2 linked regions of the Neurospora crassa OR74A genome follow. The protein of the gene in region 1 interacts with the protein of each later gene in a pairwise test. Links are inferred from orthologs where the notes say so. Each region holds a gene or a part of one and is shown on either strand. Other genes may lie near its edges. The genes, in order: NCU00958 and NCU02263.

Evidence for each region.
Region 2: the proteins of NCU00958 (region 1) and NCU02263 interact in binary tests that used the Saccharomyces cerevisiae proteins (3 or more experiments, as listed by UniProt). The link is inferred for Neurospora crassa OR74A from reciprocal best matches to the Saccharomyces cerevisiae genes PTC7 and SEC14.

The regions. Positions count from the first base shown.
Region 1 is NC_026501.1:6,577,102-6,581,568, forward strand, and holds NCU00958 (5-azacytidine resistance protein azr1), read left to right. Parts: upstream 1-1,395; 5' UTR 1,396-1,489; intron 1,490-1,565; 5' UTR 1,566-1,988; coding exon 1,989-3,365; 3' UTR 3,366-3,907; downstream 3,908-4,467. Other genes in the region: tca-10 (succinate dehydrogenase iron-sulfur protein), read right to left, coding at 1-137, 206-357, 434-809. UniProt on the Saccharomyces cerevisiae protein: Protein phosphatase which positively regulates biosynthesis of the ubiquinone, coenzyme Q. Dephosphorylates and activates the ubiquinone biosynthesis protein CAT5/COQ7. Also dephosphorylates CIT1 on 'Ser-462', which leads to its activation.
Region 2 is NC_026507.1:3,137,983-3,142,355, reverse strand, and holds NCU02263 (Sec14 cytosolic factor), read right to left. Parts: upstream 2,923-4,373; 5' UTR 2,223-2,922; coding exon 2,055-2,222; intron 1,959-2,054; coding exon 1,909-1,958; intron 1,843-1,908; coding exon 1,719-1,842; intron 1,619-1,718; coding exon 956-1,618; 3' UTR 393-955; downstream 1-392. Other genes in the region: NCU02262 (hypothetical protein), read left to right, coding at 1-269; NCU02264 (prefoldin subunit 3), read right to left, coding at 3,618-3,734, 3,817-4,041, 4,304-4,373. UniProt on the Saccharomyces cerevisiae protein: Required for transport of secretory proteins from the Golgi complex. Catalyzes the transfer of phosphatidylinositol (PI) and phosphatidylcholine (PC) between membranes in vitro. Essential for viability and secretion.

The sequences.
Region 1 (4,467 bases):
AGGATAGCGGGGCCGAGGTACTCCTCGGAGTTCCACCAGTAGGAGGGGCACGAGGTAGAGCAGCAGGCGCAAAGAATGCACTCGTAGAGACCATCGAGCTTCTTGCGGTCGGCCTTGGACTGGCGATACTCCTTGCCCTACACGTGATGACGTAGGTTAGCATCGATCTGTGCGCGCAGCTTCTTATAAAAGCGTATCCACTTACATCAGGGGAGGGAGTGTCCCTCTGGAGGTAGGGCTTGATGGACTTGTACTGCTTGTAGAAGAGGGTAAGATCGGGGACGAGATCCTTGACGACGTAGGTGTGAGGAAGGGGGTAGATCTTCATCTCAGCGCTGTTGTCGGCGGGAATGCGGCCTGTGGTTTGGAAAAGTAAGCATTCCGTCCGCCCCGAGAGACATATATCTCGGTGGATGCTGCGACATGGACATACACAAGCAGGCGAGGGTGTTGGTGCCGTTGATGTTCATGGCGCAGGAACCGCAGATACCCTCACGGCACGAGCGGCGGAAGGTAAGGGTAGGGTCGAGCTCATTCTTGATGCGGACAAGGGCGTCAAGCACCATGGGACCGGTCTTGTTGAGGTCGAGGGTGTAGCTCTGCATGCGCGGCTTCTCGGTCGGGGTGTCGGGGTTCCAGCGGTAGATCTGGAAGGTCTTGAGCTTGGGGCTCTGCTCCGAAGAGGCCTGCTGGCTCTGGGTAGCACCGTCGGCAAGGTTGGCCATGCCGCGGGCGGCGACGACGGGGCGGAAGGCCGGCCGGGAGGCAGCGGCGAAGACACGGGCGGACGAAGAGCGGAGAGCGGCCATTTTGACGGCGATGTGCGATACTGAGAGACGAGACAGAGACGAGACGAGACGAGGATGCGGAAAAGCAAGCAAGGGAAGCCGCTTGGCGGATGAGGTGAATGCCAGACTACGTTTAAAATAACCGGAACCGGGTTCACAGGCGGAGCGACGGGAGTGAGAGATGTAGCAGTGAGGTGGACGGAGATGCCTTCTACTGTGAGTGGCGCATCCGGGCGGGTTTGGCTGGACCCCCCCGGGCCGTCATGACTTTCTTTCAACCGCCTTGTGTTTCCCGGAACACCTCGGTAGACATCAGCCAATCAGCGCCCACTTATTCTTCAGCGTCCCGACTTCCGACCATGGGGAATGCCCACTAGCCATGCTATCCGGACAGTGTATAGCTGTGAACAGCATATCCCATCCCTGATTGTCGCTCATTTTACATATCTGATTTTCTAGAACCACCGGCTCGTCTGCCACGCTATTTGTGAACATGACAGAGTGGATGAATGTTATATCTGTATGGAGCTTGGTACTAACCATTACAAGTACACAACATACGCCAAACATCCCTGGATTTGCTGCTACTACCTGTTCACATGTGCCAGAGCGTTTCACCCATCTTCGAATGGAGATGTCCCAACTTCAGTTTCTACAGCGCGGTGCCGTGATTGCGCGGGAGCCACGGCACGTCCAGCTTGGTAAGAACTTAAGAAGTTGCTACCAGTAAGTAGGCTTATAGCGAGCCGCTAGCGCGCTGATACTTCCGTTTTCCAGCACTGTTAACCCCAACCCTCTTCCTGTACCACATCGCTATCTAATCCGCAATGTCTGGCCAGTCCACTTCGCGCATCGGATTGACGCCCGGTGCGTCGGGTTCCCGTCGTCACTGCAGTCTTCCCGCTTGCTTTTGCCGGCGATTCCTGTGGTGTGTTGATTGCCCGCAGACACTATCATGATTTACAGACACCTCTCCTTTCTCTAACCTCTCTCTCGACACAGCGGGCCCACAGGGGCTTCGCATGGAACCAAACCTACAGCGTTATCTACTATTGATCCACGATCTCCTTCATTGACAACCACCAGGGGCATACCAATCACGTCTTTCCATCAGTCGCCTGATCCCCCTGGCCGATTGAAAGAGTTTCCACCACCCCCAACCCCCTCCGCAGCCTGGGCAATTGACCGTCCGCCCAAGCAATGGCGTCCCTTAGCGCTCTCCGCATGCTGTCGGCCCCATGTCATACAGCCCGCCTGCGGCCGGCGAGGTCCTCGACCCTGATCATCAGCCCTACCTCCAGCAGCGCGTCGTACCGCTTCAGCCATATCAGTAACTATAACCGACCCGCCGTCGACGGCATGCGATATCTGAGCACATTACCTCCGAGAGTGGGACGACGGATTGTCCACCAGCTCATGACACAAGCTCCATACTCGACGGCCGCCGAGCAGCCTGCCTCCGGATCCGGTACCAAGTTCGTCTACAACATCGCCGCCTCGTACGTCGGCAAGGGCCTCCCCTTCAACCCGTCCACCCACGTCTTCCACTTCAACCCCTACCACCGAGTGTCGAAGCCCGGAAAGAAGGCAAAGTCGGCGCGCCCAGAGTCCGGCCAGGATGCCTTCTTCGTTAGCCGTGTGGGGAACAGGCCCGGCGAGGTTGCGCTGGGCGTAGCCGACGGTGTGGGCGGCTGGATGGACAGCGGTGTCGACCCTGCGGACTTTTCGCATGCCTTCTGCGACTATATGGCGGCTGCCGCATACGAGAACGACAGGCAGCCCACCAAGATTGCATCAGCGGCGGCTAACGGACCAGCAGCGCCCGCTGGTGGTGAAGGGAACACCAGTGATAATGCTCCGCTAACGGCACGCTCGCTGATGCAAAAGGGATACGAGGCTGTTTGCCATGACCCGACTATCAAGGCTGGTGGCAGCACGGCTGTGGTTGGCATGTTGGATGAGAGCGGCACGATGGAGGTTGCGAACCTTGGCGACAGCGGCTTCGTAATACTCCGGCTTAACGGGGTGCACACCGCCAGTGAACCCCAGACACACGCATTCAACACCCCCTTTCAGCTCAGCGTGGTTCCGCCTAGTATGTTGCTCCGCGCTGCGACCTTTGGCGGGGGACTGCTTATCGATCAGCCCCGCGATGCCGATGTGACCCGCCACAAGCTGAAGCATGGAGACGTTGTTGTCTTTGGAAGTGACGGTCTTTGGGACAACCTCTTCAACCAGGACATTCTCCGTCTGGTCAGCAGCACAATGCAGAAGCTCGGCGCTTGGAAGGGCACCGACGCTGGGGTCCAGGTCGCCGAGGACCTGACTCCCTTCACCAAGCTCGACAGCGACGACAAGCCCATTTTCACGCTGCAGAGCTTCATTGCCACGCATATTGTCAGCGCCGCCAAATCGGCGAGCATGAACGCGAAGTTGGACGGCCCGTTCGCCAAGGAGGTCAAGAAGTACTACCCTCAGGACGCGTGGCACGGCGGCAAGGAGGACGATATCTGTGTGGTCGTCGTACTTGTTTCTGAGGAACCGGCGGACATGGCGACGCCGAAGCCACGCCTCTAGAATGGAAGGATGTTTAGGGAATACAGGACAACATCAGAAATCCTTTGCGCAAAGCGACATAGAAAGGGGATAAACAAATATCTTTTTTATTGGCAGCATCCGGGATGGAGAGCGCATTGTATTCTGAAACCGCAACGACCAATTTAGGGATCTTCATATTACATATCACATGTTTTTTTTGCATATCATATCCTCAACAACGCAGAACATATCTTTATGGAGCATTATCAGCGGCGTTCAAATGTCTCTTCCATCGACGGCTATTGTCTCAGAGACAAAGCAGTATGGCACTGGATCGAAGAAAGCATCCATGTTGTCGGATGTCGAGATATTGAAAGAAATCATATATTGATTCGATGTTGTGAATCTTACCTCGTCGGCGACGCTGCTCACCCTTAACCAACGTTATCAAGTGCCTCACCACCCCGCCTCATCATCATCCTAACCCTTAAAACCCACAGACCTGATTGAACTCTCCCCTGAAAGACCGCTCCCGTTCTATCCCATGTCAGCCCCGCAAGGTTGAAAAGGGTACTTCTCCCGACCGCCCCAGGCCTATGTTATGTTCTTCAACCCGCTTCCCTGTGGCTTCCGCCTTGCCTTCCTCCCTTCCACAAAAAAAAAGAAAAAAGAAAAGAAAAACGCACCAAATCATCACCACACCCGGGTCCTATTACCGAGGTCATCGTTAATTCTGTGTTCTATCTACTAAGAGACCCATCTCGACCCGATTTAACATCGGCAGAAGAAGAAGAAGAAGAAGAAGAAGAAGAAGAAGAAGAAGAAGAAGAAGAAGAAGAAGAAGAAGAAGAAGAAGAAGAAGAAGGAAGACCCAACAACCAATAGTTAAAACAGCATAACACTCACTCAGCTCACGGGCCCCGACGGCATAATGGCGGCGCCAGGGCATGTAAGAAGGGAGCCCACAGGATCACTGGCAGAAAGTCACAGGTCTCGCTGCACGACACCGAGGAATGAACTTAACTAGGTAACCAATGGGTGCGTACGTACGCCTGTACGCCTTCCCTTCCCCCTCTTTCTCCCCTCTATACTTTCTCCGACATGATTGGGAAGCAAGAAGATAGCAAGGTAAGAAGCGATA
Region 2 (4,373 bases), on another chromosome or scaffold:
ATGGGAGCGGGGACGGGGACGTAACGGCAGGAAAGGGAGGAAACGAAAAAGGAGGAGGAGGTGCTGCTGCTGCTGCTGCTGGTGCAACAATGGAAAGGCAGGAAGAAATAGAGGATGGGTTTGCAAAAGCGGTTGAGGCGCTGAGAAGGCTGAAGAGTCAGATGCCGGCTACGGTGGCGAGGATGGAGAGGGCGAGGGTTGCGGGCGGGTATGTTGTTGCTGGTGTTGGGGGGAGTGGTGTTGTTGCGGCGCCTGGGGAGGGGAGGTAGACAATGTTGTTGGTTGGGTTGGCGATACTCGTTAGTGCTGCGGGAAAAGAAAAGTGTTGGGTTTGTTTGAGCCGGCATGTTGGAGTTGTTGCTTGTTGGAACACTGTTTGCTTTCGGTAGAGAGGCTTTAAGCGATTAGTTTTTGGAGTTAGGGGCGTATTGGCATAGCCATGTCTATGGACGGGGTATCAAAGCAAATATGTGGTTACTTTTGGGAACTGAAATGTGCCAGATTTCTTGATGTCTTCACCACTCAAATACCAGGCAGATAAATTACAGGCCGCCAGAAACAAGTGATCTATTGTATATCCGTGTGTATACCAAAGAGACCACCTCCGACAAAGACGCGAGGACTCTACATACGCTAATGTAAAATCACCAGTGCTAAGTTGAAACCAGATTCACGTTTCCGATCTCGCACTTGAAAATACCCTGCAAACACAACCAACTCCTACCCCATTACGGCCACTAAGCTAGTCTGGCCGAATGATGACTTCATTACAACTGAATACTCTTTCATAGCGTATATAGACCCATGATACTTCATGTAAAGCAAAACCGCGTTAACAGCCTTCCCCTCACAGGCAAAAATGACGCCATATTCTGGGGGGACTCGGTGATGCTTTGCCCTTCGAACTGCCGTCTTTCTGACTGGAAGCCGTCGTCAAACATCCCCATTGCATCTCTTATGCGGCAGCGGGAGCAGGGGCGGTAGCCTCAGTAGCAGCGACGGCAGGCTCGGCGGCAGGAGCAGGGGCAGCTTCGGTCGCGGCAGGAGCGGCGGCGGGGGCGGCGGCGGGGGCATCAGCCTTCTTCTCCCACTTGGCGGGACGAGCCCACTGCTCCTCGCGCCAAGGACCCATGTCGCTCATGTGGCAGCCACCGGCGCACTGGCAGGTACCGCCAAACTCCTTGGGGAGGTTCTCAGGGGGCACCTGCCCGAGGAGCTCCTTGCTGTAACCGCTGCCGAGGACGTGGATCTTGGAGACGGTGACGGGGTCGAGCCAAGCCTTGATGACGTTCCAGACGGTGCTGAAGCCCCAGGGCGCGTTGATGAGGTAGAGCTTGCCGAGGCGCTCGGGGTAGTAGTTCTGCGAGAGGGTGGAGGCCTGCTTGACGTAGCCGAAGACCTGGGGGGCCTTGGTGAGGCCGACACCCTTCAGGTCCATGATGGTGCAGCACGTCTCGAGGAGGACACCGGCCTTGCGGGAGCAGGCGGGCAGGCGGGGGTCGGCAAGACGCTCGTACTCGACAGCGAGGTTGGTGAGCATGCGCTCGGCTGTTGTGATCTTGTACATGGCATTCAGATCGATCTTGCCAAGCTGCTCGATGTAAACGGGGCGGCCATCCTGGTGGAGAACCTCATGTTAGCCTCGTGTAATTTCTTTTTCTGGTCTCTATTGTCGCAGCCGATGGAATGCAAAATCCGGAGAGAACTGGTAGCCGTACCTTATCGGTCTTGTGGTAGTATTGAGGGTAGTACTTGGAAACCTCCTCCTTCTCGGGGTACTCCCACTCAGGGATGGTCTCGTCAAGCTTGGTCTCTGCCCTCCACTTCTCGCACTCGACGAACCTTGGGTTTGATGGTCAGCGCTTTGTTGTTCAAACTCGAGCGATACTGGGCAGATTTCGCGCTTACATTTGCTTGGCGAGGTTGACATCGAACTTGCGGGCGCGGAGGAAGCGCAGCTGTTTACGGAATGTGTCAGCACCTGTCTATCCCACTACTTTCCCCTCTTTTTGTTCTCCGTCTCTCCCACTCGAATCGAGCATCATATTGCATACCAGTGTAAGGGTGTCGAGGCGCTTGGTGTAGCCCTCAGACTCCAGCATCAGACGAAGCTGAGTGACCTGGGCCTGCTGCTGGGGAGTCAGATGGCCGGGGTGGCCCTCCTGCGCGTCGGGCGCGGTGGTAGGGTAGTCATAGTCGTCGTACTTGGGTTCAAGCTCCATGTTGGCGGTTGTGGTGTTGTAGAGGTCGTAGGTAGGTAGGTAGGCTGAAGCGGGGGGGTTGGGGTTGGGTATTATGAAGCTGAGGCAGGAGACAATGAAGAGACGACAATGATGTGTACAAACTTGGAAAGTAAGGTAGCGTTATAGGAGATGGATAACGCAGCTGAGTCGTGGCAAAAAGGGTTGATCCGAAGGGGAAAGGGTACACAGTTGAGTCTACAGAGTCAAGGCAGGCAGGCAGGCAGGAAGGGGAAGGAGGCCGGAGCCCGCCCGTGATGGAGATCGTTTAATTGGGGTTCCGTTGCAGAGGGCCGGGGCCCCTGAGATTCCGCCTGCCCCTGGGGGCCGCCTGCCCGCTTGGGACCCGACGTTGGGGCCCCATCCGCTAAGCTGCTTTCTGCTGTTGGCGCAGGGCACCTCATCCAGTATTCAGGTCGGGCCTGGTCTGCCGTTCGCCTGCCGCCGTACCAAACAGAGACAGAGTCAAAAGACTCGGGACCCCGTCTCCGAAACGAATGCCGTCGTCATGGCGGTCAAGACCACAGATGTGCTTCCTCACTCCCGAAATAGGGGTTTCAGTTTCCAGGGGGGCGGGGGTGGCTCACTTTTGACAAAACACTGACAGCGAAACAGACAGGTCAACGGCCGCCCGAGCGCCCTGCCTACATGCGCATTGGCCCCCCGCCCATCTGACTGTCTCGACTGGATAAGACTTGGGTATGTACACCACTTGATAAACGATGGCGACGATCGATCCGCGACTACACTACAACTCAACCAGACAAACTCGCCCCCTCAGCCACGTGATCTCCTCGGATTGGCTTTTGGTAACGTTGTAAGGCTATCTCGGTGTATGTTTGCGGTAGGTATCGTGACAATCTAAACAATGAGCCATAGCGTCGATCTCTCTTGTAGCCAAGTGATAGACAGTAACTTCCATCACAACCAAGAACCCGGGCGGGAAATATAAAAAGTCATCATCGTGCCTTGATCATGAGGCTATGGGCGTTGGAGGCCGCCAAACTCAAATTCTCTTTAATCTCTCGAGGTCGTAGCCTTGACCTAGGCCAGAGCGAACCTCATCTCGCCAGTCCCACTTCAGTCTCTCCAAAACGACAAACCGCTTGCGTGGCCCTTGTTCCTTTGTCTCGTGAACAAATGGCTACTGAGCGTAATACGACGCAGAATATCTGTGAGGTATCGTTCGCTATCATGTTGCTTTCAAATCAAGTCCAACTTACCAAGCCATCGTGAACCTCGTCTCACATGATCGCGGCCAGCAGCAACCTCGGCCGGCCTCCCTCTATTAGACATTCTTCAACCGTCGTTCGCTCCCATGGCATTTCGTGATGGTGCATTATCTCCTCGCTTTCTGTATTAGACCTAATCTCCTCTTCAACCGTCCGACGCCGTCTCGCTCTTCTTTCCTTTTGTCTTCTCCTCCTCCTCCTTCTCTTTCCTCTTCTGCACGACGTCCCAGTTGTACACTCTGGCAACCGCAACTTCCATCGTCTATGGCGCATCGTTCAGGTCAGTCAAGGTTCCAAGATCGGTAACAGAACTACCATCTTCGCGTTCTCCGCCCAACACGTACCGTAATCTGTTCTCTCAAGAAATCCAGATCCTCCTCGCAGTTCTGCAAGCTCTGCGTCGCCGCCTTGAGCTTCGAGTCAAGCAGCTGCTCGGCCTCCTCAATGGGATACGACAGCATGACGTTGGCGCCGAGCCAGATGTACACCTCGTCCGTGGGTGGGATCTTGGCCTGGGCGTAGAGAGTCTCGTTGAGCTCGAATGTGGTTTCGATCGGGTCTGATTCGTCCTGTAAAACAGACAAAGTAAAAAGGTGATCTTGTCAGCGTGTCTTGTTCGTGTGCGACCGTATCTTCGTCCATCCATCCATACATCAATCCACGTCCTTGTTGTTCATGCTCGTCCTTGACCTTTGGTTCTCAATTACCCTTTCCCCCCGCCCCGGGCGCATTTGGTATTGTGCCCGCTGTATAGCTAGCTGTATAGCCCGTATGTTCGCGTGCCCTGAAGACGGAGGTGTGTGTGCGTGTGTGCGTGTGTGTGTGTCGTACCTTTCTCATCTGCAGGAACCGCACCGTGTCCAGCGTCTTCTGGATATCCGGCATCTTATCCTTCAAGCCC